Linked DNA regions of Arabidopsis thaliana. The protein of the gene in region 1 interacts with the protein of each later gene in a biochemical or structural test. Each region holds a gene or a part of one and is shown in the gene's direction. Other genes may lie near its edges.

Region 1 (7,919 bases):
AAAGTCGAGAAAATCATGGAATCGTAACGAAACTTCCTCGTCTCTCTCTGATAATTCATCCAACTCAAGTGGTGTATTTTGTGGTTACATTTACATATATTGTCAACACCAACTGTCGAATTCATTAAATCGGCTAAAATACGTTGATGTGATTCTGGAAATATCTTTAGGACAGTATATGAGTTATTCATCTTGTTCATTTTCCACTTTCCACTGCGGACACCATACGGACACACAACCGGTTCTGAAATGCGTCACGCTCTTCTTCCTTTCATTCCAACTTTAATACATGCATGAAGTCGTAGTTCGGAGTTCATACTAAATTTCGGTCACTTTGTAATAAGAAAACTATTAACATTTTTCTTTTTCTTTTTTTAAACGTTAGCTAGGCCTCAAAGTTTCACAAAAAAAAAAGAAAAAAAAAAGCTAGGCGTCGAAATCCATAACTTCAAAAGGCCTTCTTACATTCATCCAATCTCCAAACTTCTGTCTTCACGCATTTATTGCTCAGGGACATCATGTCGCTACTCACTGCCACTTATTTGAATTGACATCCATTCATTCCATACATATATATTACCTTCACTTAAAGTTGTAAGTATATAGAATTTTAAGCATTCCTGCCAAATAAGTTTTGGATCGAACCTAAACTAACAAAGAGGTTACTGTTTTGTAACTTTCTTTTTTGATGTGGGGTCATTCAAAGGGTTTACATGCATTTTACAATGGTCTGTGATGAATATGGAGGTTCAGTCTTTGGTAGATAAAACTTGTTATGTGGCCTTAAACCAAATAGATTGTAGTTTGTACAATGACATATTTATGGTTATATTCGGTTTTCCAATATGTTTAGGAATATATATCACCGTTTTTTTTTGGGTAGACATTTTAACGATTATAGAGGAAAATTTTGAATGATGGCTGTACTGGGAAAAGAGTGTAAGTTGTGATCATCATATGTAATTTTATTTTGTGTGACATTATAACACTTCTTCCAAAAGACAAAAGTTTAGGTTAATTAATATAAGAAACCAATAAAGAATCATGAACAAAGAGAGAACTTCTATCATTTTTGATATGAAATCGTCCGTTAAAATATTGTTCTTTGTGATCGCATATGCTGTATGTACTTAGATTTGATCAATTAATCAACATTTACAACAAAATAAGATCAATTGTTTATAATGATGATCTAAGCGAATTTAGATTTGTTTGTTATTATAGAACTCATTACTAAACATTTAAGTTCCATTCTCGTTTAAAACATGAACGCTAGTTTATGAAACTCAGAACCAACCATGTAAAACTCCACAAAATTTCTAGTAAAATGCTTTTGTTCAAAATAATGAAAATCATAAAATTTTTTGATGAATTATGAATCCTAAAATCTATCTGAATTAAATATAGTTAACTACAAAAGAAATTGCCAAACATATATGTACGCACTTTGATCAAATAACTAGCTAGTCAGCTTAGTTTGTTTTTTTCAATACATCCCCTATAAATCTATGTTATCCCTAATCAAGTATTACAATAAATGATACAGTAATAATAACCTTAATGAAAAAAACTTATCAAATTATCAGAGATAAGGAAAAAGAAAACACTAATAAAGTTGTTTTTTTGTGTGTCAAAGTTAAAATTTTAGAGGACAATAATAACATTAAGAAATTAAATCGTGGCCAGTTTGCTAGTGAATATGTCGGCTTCATGAGCATAACTAAATAGGTATAAAAAAATAAAAATATCGGAAAAAGAAAAGAGAAGGAAAAAAAAAGGAGAGGAAGAAGAAAAAGCTGTTCCTGTGCTTTAGCAGACCTTTTGGTAGTTGTCCTGGTCGCTGATCATCCCTTTCCGACAACTCTGTTGCTCTTTCTCTCACGTTTGAGTCTTAATCTTCGATTGTCCTTGGTCATCCTTAAGTTTTGTTTTTCTCTTTCGATTCATTTTCCAGATTTCTTTTTATAGAAACCCGTCTCTTTGATTTGATTCCCCCCAAGAAAGGAAAGCAAAACAAAGAAGAGCAGCTGAATCAAGTAACTTTGTGGGTGTTTTTGAATTATCTGACTCGAGATAAAGAGCTTCGTTAAAAACGGAATCTTTTTTAAGGTCGTATGCTTTGTTTGTCTCTCCGGAGATTCCGCGTGTGAAAAGTCGTGGTTTTTGATCTCTTTGAGATACTTAAAATTTCCGAGAAATTGGCGGCTCTGTCGGAGATAAAAAGCTGAGATCTTGGAGTTCCCCATTTCTGATTAACGATTCTCTCTGCTGTTACTTGAGCTAGGAAGCTATTAACAACTTGAGTGAAAGTTTAGGGCTTTTGATGAAGCTCTCACGCAAAGAGCTTAGCTTTGTATAAGCTCAGATTCAGATTATTTATTGGGTTTATTCTTCAGAGAAAGTAAAGTTGAGTGATCATGAAAGCTCCTTCATCAAATGGAGTTTCTCCTAATCCTGTTGAAGGTTTGTGTGTTTCTCGTATCTGATAAATGTCAATCCTTTAGTAGAAGAAATTCATTGCTGGATTTGAATAGATTCAAGTTTTAAGTAGAAGAGGTCACACATTTCTTCAGAATTGCTGGATTTGAGAACCTGAATTGAATTGGTTTCGGTCATTTTCTGCTTAGAGAGTAAGCTAAGTTACTATTGTATTGGTTTATAAAGACTGTGGCTTTTAGTTGGTTTAGAGCAGTTCTCTCCTATCTTGTTGGTTTGATAATAGTAACTGAATGAAGATCCTAGAGATTTTAAGTAATCACAGCTTTGATGTTGTGTGAATGCAGGAGAAAGGAGAAATATAAACTCAGAGCTATGGCACGCTTGTGCTGGGCCATTGATTTCGTTGCCTCCAGCAGGAAGTCTTGTTGTTTACTTCCCTCAAGGTCACAGTGAGCAAGTATGTTGTTCAATAAAGTTTGGTATCATTCGCGGCTGATCAAGAATGAGTCGCTGATTGGAAATTTCATGTGGTTGCTATTTATTTTTCTGTTTCTTAGGTCGCGGCTTCAATGCAGAAGCAGACTGATTTCATACCAAGTTACCCGAATCTTCCTTCCAAGCTCATATGCATGCTCCACAATGTTACACTGAATGTATGGTATCTTTTAAATATCTATAATGGCCTCTTAGGCTAGTTGTTTTAACATTTTTTGCTTTTGAGTTGCTAATGTTTTGCTAATTGTCGACTGTGAACCAGGCTGATCCTGAGACGGATGAGGTCTATGCGCAGATGACTCTTCAGCCAGTAAACAAAGTAGCTTACCTTTCACTGAATAACTCGATTTATAGGTGTATTTAAGGAGTAGGGAGGGACTAATTGCTCTGAGCATTTTGTTGAACAGTATGACAGAGATGCATTGCTTGCTTCTGACATGGGTCTTAAGCTAAACAGACAACCTAATGAATTTTTCTGCAAAACCCTCACGGCGAGTGACACAAGTACTCACGGTGGATTTTCTGTACCCCGACGAGCTGCTGAGAAAATCTTTCCTGCTCTGGTGTATATACAATACTTTCTTATACATCTGATAGTTAGTATCTCTGTATTGCCTTAGTTTCTTACATTGTTGGCAATATTTTACTAGGATTTCTCGATGCAACCACCTTGTCAGGAGCTTGTTGCTAAGGATATTCATGACAACACATGGACTTTCAGACATATTTATCGAGGTTTTACCTTGTTTTTGGTAGATTACCTTCTTTAATCAATTTGGCTTTCGTAGAATTGTTCTTACGTTTTGGATATGTTGACATTTATCAGGTCAACCAAAAAGGCACTTGCTAACTACAGGCTGGAGTGTGTTTGTCAGCACGAAAAGGCTCTTTGCTGGAGACTCTGTTCTTTTTATAAGGTATATCAATCTCAATGTGCCAATGCTCTCTTTCGGTATTTTTTTTTGTCAAGATGCTAATTCTTTTTTTCTTTCAATTAAGAGATGGAAAGGCGCAACTTCTGTTGGGGATAAGACGTGCAAATAGACAACAGCCTGCACTTTCTTCATCTGTAATATCAAGTGATAGCATGCACATCGGAGTTCTTGCAGCTGCAGCTCATGCTAATGCTAATAACAGTCCTTTCACCATTTTCTACAACCCGAGGTGGCGATCTATGTTTCCTTTTGTCTACGTTAACCTTACTATATATGCTTGTTTCATGGCAATTGCTGAGAGATTTACAACCGAGTTTTTTCAGGGCTGCTCCTGCTGAGTTTGTGGTTCCTTTAGCCAAGTATACCAAAGCGATGTACGCTCAAGTTTCCCTCGGTATGCGGTTTAGAATGATATTTGAGACTGAAGAATGTGGAGTTCGTCGGTATATGGGTACAGTTACCGGTATCAGTGATCTTGATCCAGTGAGATGGAAAAACTCTCAGTGGCGGAATCTTCAGGTAGTTTGAAGTAAAACTCATGATGAATGTCAGATTTGTCTTTCTTGATACATTGCACCATTCATTTTAGTTATGCTTTGTTTCTGTTTCTGCTAAAGATTGGATGGGATGAGTCAGCTGCTGGTGATAGGCCCAGTCGAGTTTCAGTTTGGGACATTGAACCGGTTTTAACTCCTTTCTACATATGTCCTCCTCCATTTTTCCGACCTCGCTTTTCTGGACAACCTGGAATGCCAGGTAAATTTTTGTACCATTTCATTTCGACACAACTTCTTTGAATCTCCTCAAGGACGGAATTTCCGGTGCTCTTGCAGATGATGAGACTGACATGGAGTCTGCACTGAAGAGAGCAATGCCATGGCTTGATAATAGCTTAGAGATGAAAGACCCTTCGAGTACTATCTTTCCTGGTCTGAGTTTAGTTCAGTGGATGAATATGCAGCAGCAGAACGGCCAGCTACCCTCTGCTGCTGCACAGCCAGGTTTCTTCCCATCAATGCTTTCGCCAACCGCGGCGCTGCACAACAATCTTGGCGGCACTGATGATCCCTCCAAGTTACTGAGCTTTCAGACGCCGCACGGGGGGATTTCCTCCTCAAATCTCCAATTTAACAAACAGAATCAGCAAGCCCCAATGTCTCAGTTGCCTCAGCCACCAACTACGTTGTCCCAACAACAGCAGCTGCAGCAATTGTTGCACTCCTCTTTGAACCATCAACAACAGCAATCGCAGTCTCAACAACAGCAACAACAACAACAGTTGCTGCAGCAGCAACAACAATTGCAGTCTCAACAACACAGCAACAACAATCAATCGCAGTCTCAGCAACAACAACAATTGCTCCAGCAGCAACAACAACAACAACTGCAGCAACAACATCAACAACCGTTACAGCAACAGACTCAGCAGCAGCAGCTAAGAACACAGCCATTGCAATCTCACTCGCATCCACAGCCACAACAGTTACAACAACATAAGTTGCAGCAACTTCAGGTTCCACAGAATCAGCTTTACAATGGTCAACAAGCAGCGCAGCAGCATCAGTCGCAACAAGCATCTACACATCATTTGCAACCACAATTAGTTTCGGGATCAATGGCAAGCAGTGTCATCACGCCTCCGTCCAGCTCCCTTAATCAAAGCTTTCAACAGCAACAACAACAGTCTAAGCAACTTCAACAAGCACATCACCATTTAGGTGCTAGCACTAGCCAGAGTAGTGTAATTGAAACCAGCAAGTCTTCATCCAATCTGATGTCCGCACCGCCGCAAGAGACACAGTTTTCACGACAAGTAGAACAGCAGCAGCCTCCTGGTCTCAACGGGCAGAATCAGCAAACACTTTTGCAGCAGAAAGCTCACCAGGCACAGGCCCAACAGATATTCCAGCAGAGTCTCTTGGAACAGCCGCATATACAGTTTCAGCTGTTACAGAGATTACAACAGCAACAGCAGCAGCAATTTCTTTCGCCGCAGTCTCAGTTACCACACCATCAATTGCAAAGCCAGCAGTTGCAACAGCTGCCTACTCTCTCTCAAGGTCATCAGTTTCCGTCATCTTGCACTAACAATGGCTTATCGACGTTGCAACCACCTCAAATGCTGGTGAGCCGACCTCAGGAAAAACAAAACCCACCGGTTGGGGGAGGGGTCAAAGCTTATTCAGGCATCACAGATGGAGGAGATGCACCTTCCTCTTCAACGTCGCCTTCCACCAACAACTGTCAGATCTCTTCTTCAGGCTTTCTCAACAGAAGCCAAAGCGGGCCAGCGATCTTGATACCTGATGCAGCGATTGATATGTCTGGTAATCTTGTTCAGGATCTTTACAGCAAATCCGATATGCGGCTAAAACAAGAACTCGTGGGTCAGCAAAAGTCCAAAGCTAGTTTAACAGATCATCAACTAGAAGCATCTGCCTCTGGAACTTCTTACGGTTTAGATGGAGGCGAAAACAACAGACAACAAAATTTCTTGGCTCCAACTTTTGGCCTTGACGGTGATTCCAGGAACAGCTTGCTCGGTGGAGCTAATGTTGATAATGGCTTTGTGCCTGACACGCTACTCTCGAGGGGATATGACTCCCAGAAAGATCTTCAGAACATGCTTTCAAACTATGGAGGAGTGACAAATGACATTGGTACAGAGATGTCTACTTCAGCTGTAAGAACTCAATCTTTTGGTGTCCCCAATGTGCCCGCCATTTCGAACGATCTAGCTGTCAACGATGCTGGAGTTCTTGGTGGTGGATTGTGGCCAGCTCAGACTCAGCGAATGCGAACTTATACAAAGGTTCGATTGTGCTCTGATCTATGCTTGTTGATATTTGGGTTATGTTTTCGGTTTGACAAATGTTAAATTTTCCTACAGGTGCAAAAACGAGGCTCAGTGGGGAGATCAATAGACGTCAACCGTTACAGAGGTTACGATGAGCTGAGGCATGATCTAGCGCGCATGTTTGGGATCGAAGGACAGCTCGAAGATCCTCAAACATCTGACTGGAAACTTGTTTATGTCGATCATGAAAATGACATCCTCCTCGTCGGCGATGATCCATGGGAGTAAGTAGAGAGCAATTACATTCACACATCAGACTGTTAGAAGTTCCATTATTTTTTTGCTAACCTTTAAAATCGTGATTTTTGCAGAGAATTCGTAAACTGTGTTCAGAGCATTAAGATCCTTTCATCAGCTGAGGTTCAGCAGATGAGCTTAGACGGGAACTTTGCCGGTGTACCAGTTACTAATCAAGCTTGTAGTGGCGGTGACAGTGGCAATGCTTGGAGAGGTCATTATGATGATAACTCAGCCACTTCGTTTAACCGGTGATGGCAGAAGAGTTCTCTCACAGACAAAGATTCTTTTTTCTTCGTTTTGTAATATAACTTCTCGTTGATAACATGTCTCAAGTTTCCACTGGGCACTGTAGAGCATTTACCTGTAAAATATCTTCCACTAAGTTTACACGGAGATTTTATTTGCTGTGAGTCACTGTTTCTACCAAGTTTAACTGATCAACTGAAACCGCTTGTAACCAAAAAGAGAAGGAAAAACATGAAATCAGCAATAAAATCACATTTTCAAACTCAAGTCTTTATTCCAGATTATGCTCAGGCCGTTTACGGAAAAAATTTCCACAATTGGGATACAAGTTGCAGATTACAAAGATATAACATAACTAAGAAAGTATAGCCATCACATCTGAAGCTCTGAGGGCAATGTAGTTGGAACCATCTTTGCCCTTGAAGTCGTTACCAGCATACTTGGAGTAAAGTACTGTGCTTCCGGTTGATACTGGTAGAGGCGTAATTTTACCTTCCTCGTCTAGGGAACCCGGTCCAACTGCTATCACCTGCCATAAAATGAAGAGGAGAATATGTATAATTGGAACTTGTGTATGAACTGACTATCACATCAAGCTACTAAGAAAGTATCAGATTCCCCGAATGGACATGATATCAAGTGAGCACTTACCGTGCCAATAGAAGGCTTCTCTTTGGTAGTCTCGGTTAACAACAACCCTCCAGCTG
Region 2 (4,325 bases), on another chromosome or scaffold:
GTTTCGTCACTAGAATGTATTATTAGTATGAAAGAAATAACAATTAAGGGAAAGTTTGGTCAGTAAACTGAAAACCAACAACATCAAAACTGAAATAGTTTCGGTAATCCGTTTATAATTTGACTAATTAGTATGTAACTAATTCGACATAAAATACGGAAAAAGATAAATTAAAAAATAAGTTGTGAAACCGTTCGATGAAGGTTGGGAAGAAGGTGCAAATGACGTTTAGTGCGTTACTAACGTAAGAGACAGTTACACACAATTTCAAAAACAGTTCCAAAAATTTGACACGTGGCAGTTTGCTTAATGGACGACAGTTAGTTGTTTGTTGAGGATTACAGCCTGGATTTTCGTCAATCAAAAACTATATATTATAAATAAATATGATTTCATTCACATTCCAATTGGCCTAACACTCTTTTGTCGTGTTGTCCATGTCAGCAAATTTTATTTTTATTTTTCCGACCACTTACTTTTATCTTGTGTGGCCGTTTCTTTGTAACAAGTTTATGAAACAGAATATTAATCGTATCTAATCATATAAATGTAGTTTCCCGTATTGTGTAAATACTATATGACTTTGATTTGGGGCATTCAAAAACGTACCATTAACAAATAGTCACAGACAAAAAAACCATACAAAACTGAACCACATTTCTATAAACGATACAAATATTTTTATCCCAAATTTGTAGCACTAGGCAGTTTGAACCTTTTTCAGTTAGAAAGATAAACCAAAAGGAAGTAAAAAATATTAATTTCATCGCTCAAAACTGTTACAATTACTGTTTAACCAGTCATAAATTAGTTAATGTTTTTTTTTAAAAATGTGTAATCAAAATTTTACTTTCAAGAGTGCCAGCTCTATACTTGCAATTACTTTAAAATTTAAAAATATACAAATTTTAAATTATGTGTATTGTATTCTCGAGAAAAAAAAAAAAAGAAATCTATGAATAATTAAAACGTAGCATAACCGTTACAAGTATAGTTTCAAATTCAACGAATCAAAATACTTTTTTAAAAGTAGCTAATACTTTTCTCGTTTCAAATTAAATGTCGTTTTGCATATTAATTTTTGTGTCATATTAAACGTCGTTTTATATTCTATGCAGATTTTATGTATAAACTTTATTGGTCAAAAGCGTTACGAATATCGTTTCAAGTTCAACGAATCAAAACATATTTTATAAAAACATCTAATACGTTTTCCGTTTCAAATTAGATGTCGTTTTGCATTTTAATTTTTGTGTCAGTCTAATGTCGTTTTATATTTTCTACACATTTATATTTTCAAAAATTTCAGTTTTATTTTTATTGTTTAAATATATCATCCAATTTGAAAATAATACAATACAATAACAAAAATAACATTTAAATTAAACAAAAATATTTTTAGAACACTGTGATCAAATTTTATCCTCCAATATTTCCCGACCCATAAACTTTAAACCTTATGTAACTTCAAAAAAAAATTCAAATTAGTCGTTTTGTATTCTACAAAATAAAATAAAAGGAAAAAAGTTTCAGAGAAAAGGGTAAATTTGCATAACAAGGAATACAGGCTGGCGTGTCCAGTCAAAAAAGTCAGAAATCTGCATAAAAAACTGTCTTTACCCAAACTGCCAAACCTAACCGTTATCGTCTCAGATATTATTATTATTTTTCAAATAAACATTCAAAACAGCTTTCTAATTTTTCACCTCAGATTGTGCGAATAATATCAGAGCTCTTTCCTTGTAGGTTTCCGTGATTTTGTCGCTTTAACTTCCCTTCTTTTCCCACTCTCTTCTCACGCGCGCGTGCTTCCCCTTTCTCTCTTTCGACTGTATCACACGCTCCATAAACTAATAAACAGACGCACCGAGATCACGACACGTGTACACCTACAGCTGTATCCCAAAACTTTCAAAACCGCTTGCGTGGAAGAAGCGGTGCATGACTTTCTCCACCGTCTCTACCGGTTACCGGTTATTATCCATCCTCCTCTCTATCTCTCTCTCTGTTATAAATACCTTTTTTCTCCTCTCTTCAGTTTCCTCCACCTTCTTCTTCTTCTTCTTCTTCTCTACAACAAACAAACAAAAGATCTGTTTCAATGGCGGATCGTGTTAAAGGTCCATGGAGTCAAGAAGAAGATGAGCAGCTACGAAGGATGGTTGAGAAATACGGACCGAGGAATTGGTCTGCGATTAGCAAATCGATTCCAGGTCGATCTGGTAAATCGTGTAGATTACGTTGGTGTAATCAGTTATCTCCGGAGGTTGAGCATCGTCCTTTCTCGCCGGAGGAAGATGAGACTATTGTAACCGCCCGTGCTCAGTTTGGTAACAAGTGGGCGACGATTGCTCGTCTTCTTAACGGTCGTACGGATAACGCCGTTAAAAATCACTGGAACTCTACGCTTAAGAGGAAATGCAGCGGAGGTGTGGCGGTTACGACGGTGACGGAGACGGAGGAAGATCAGGATCGGCCGAAGAAGAGGAGATCTGTTAGCTTTGATTCTGCTTTTGCTCCGGTGGATACTGGATTGTACATGAGTCCTGAGAGTCCTAACGGAATCGATGTTAGTGATTCTAGCACGATTCCGTCACCGTCGTCTCCTGTTGCTCAGCTGTTTAAACCAATGCCGATTTCCGGCGGTTTTACGGTGGTTCCGCAGCCGTTACCGGTTGAAATGTCTTCGTCTTCGGAGGATCCACCTACTTCGTTGAGTTTGTCACTACCTGGAGCTGAGAACACGAGTTCGAGCCATAACAATAACAACAACGCGTTGATGTTTCCGAGATTTGAGAGTCAGATGAAGATTAATGTAGAGGAGAGAGGAGAAGGACGTAGAGGTGAGTTTATGACGGTGGTGCAGGAGATGATAAAAGCTGAAGTGAGGAGTTACATGGCGGAAATGCAGAAAACAAGTGGTGGATTCGTCGTCGGAGGTTTATACGAATCCGGCGGCAATGGTGGTTTTAGGGATTGTGGAGTAATAACACCTAAGGTTGAGTAGTTTTGGTTTAGGGTTAAAACTTGAATCGATTGGGGATTTTCAAGAGCATTCATTTTTGGGGTTTATGGTAAAATTAAAAACAAAAACAAAATGTACAGAGGAATTAAAATTTCTATGGAATAATCTTAAATCTCAAATATTTGTTACTTGTTTTGGTGATTCATAACCAAAATCTATAACAAGTCTAAATCTAAAAATTGAACCTTGATTAGTGAGACATTATCATACAAAGAGACATACTGAGTTAGTCAACAAAATGTAGGATAACTACATTCTTACATATTGTATAGATGAATTTCATGTTAATCCTTTCATAGAGCTATACAGTAACCATGATTAGTGAGACCTTGTAACATGTAGTATCAAAATCAACAAAGGTATAGATTTAACATCTATTTGAAAACATTCGAACCTTTTATTTGAAAATCTTTTGCTTGTTGTAAGAGATTTACTCTATAGTCTATAGATAGTAATTAAACCTTTTCTATAGGTTTGGTAGATTACTTCACTTTTATATAAAATTAATTACTGTCAAATCGGATTTTTGTTAACATAATTATTTTTCGACAATTTAGAAATTATCGTAAAAATTAGATCAATCTTTCTACATTCTTACAAAAAATAAATACATTGTCTAGAAAATCAGTTTTTTTTTTTCGTTTTAAATCTATAAAAAAACTGACAACAACAAAACAATACATACTTTTTAATTACTATAGAGTAAAATCTCTTACAACATGCCAAAGATTTCAAATAAATTGTAGGAAGATTTTTATGTTATTTAACCATTCTACAGTATAAATAAACACTGGTACAGCGATGTTAAAAAGTAGAGGTTAAAAAAATGCGTTAAAAACACAAAAGCTACGTCGTTTCAATAACTGGGTTTTGTCTCAAAGAAAGCTGCTTTTGGTTCCCGTAGATCTAAAGTTACGTTCGAGTCTCCCCTCTTCTCTCCACTCACTCAGCTCTTTTGATTCCCCTCCAATTTTCTCCGACGGTACGGTCGAAAAATCCAACCGGAGATCAAATGGCACTGCCGTCGATCTCATCAATCGGCGCGACGTTCTCACTCCTAATCTATTTATCTCTTCCTTATTCAATCACAGCTGGTGAAAACAACCTCCTCCACCAATCTCCAACCGCTAGATCACGACGTCCCATGGTGTTCCCATTGTTCCTCTCTCAACCAAATTCTTCTTCGAGATCCATATCAATCCCACATCGAAAACTCCACAAATCCGACTCAAAATCACTTCCTCACTCTCGCATGAGACTCTACGACGATCTTCTTATTAATGGGTAATCTCCTTTTCCA

Evidence for each region.
Region 2: the proteins of NPH4 (region 1) and MYB77 form a complex in vitro, tested with the Arabidopsis thaliana proteins (one study listed by BioGRID).

The regions. Positions count from the first base shown.
Region 1 is NC_003076.8:7,016,003-7,023,921, reverse strand, and holds NPH4 (Transcriptional factor B3 family protein / auxin-responsive factor AUX/IAA-like protein), read left to right. Parts: upstream 1-1,808; 5' UTR 1,809-2,417; coding exon 2,418-2,463; intron 2,464-2,783; coding exon 2,784-2,896; intron 2,897-2,996; coding exon 2,997-3,092; intron 3,093-3,196; coding exon 3,197-3,253; intron 3,254-3,341; coding exon 3,342-3,497; intron 3,498-3,584; coding exon 3,585-3,669; intron 3,670-3,760; coding exon 3,761-3,851; intron 3,852-3,933; coding exon 3,934-4,101; intron 4,102-4,192; coding exon 4,193-4,388; intron 4,389-4,486; coding exon 4,487-4,625; intron 4,626-4,702; coding exon 4,703-6,681; intron 6,682-6,759; coding exon 6,760-6,950; intron 6,951-7,037; coding exon 7,038-7,218; 3' UTR 7,219-7,452; downstream 7,453-7,919. Other genes in the region: CPN20 (chaperonin 20), read right to left, coding at 7,568-7,741, 7,864-7,919. UniProt on the Arabidopsis thaliana protein: Auxin response factors (ARFs) are transcriptional factors that bind specifically to the DNA sequence 5'-TGTCTC-3' found in the auxin-responsive promoter elements (AuxREs).
Region 2 is NC_003074.8:18,556,828-18,561,152, reverse strand, and holds MYB77 (myb domain protein 77), read left to right. Parts: upstream 1-1,826; 5' UTR 1,827-2,101; coding exon 2,102-3,007; 3' UTR 3,008-3,546; downstream 3,547-4,325. Other genes in the region: AT3G50050 (Eukaryotic aspartyl protease family protein), read left to right, coding at 4,038-4,309. UniProt on the Arabidopsis thaliana protein: Transcription factor involved in auxin response. Functions in auxin signal transduction and modulates lateral root growth. Interacts with ARF response factors to promote auxin-responsive gene expression.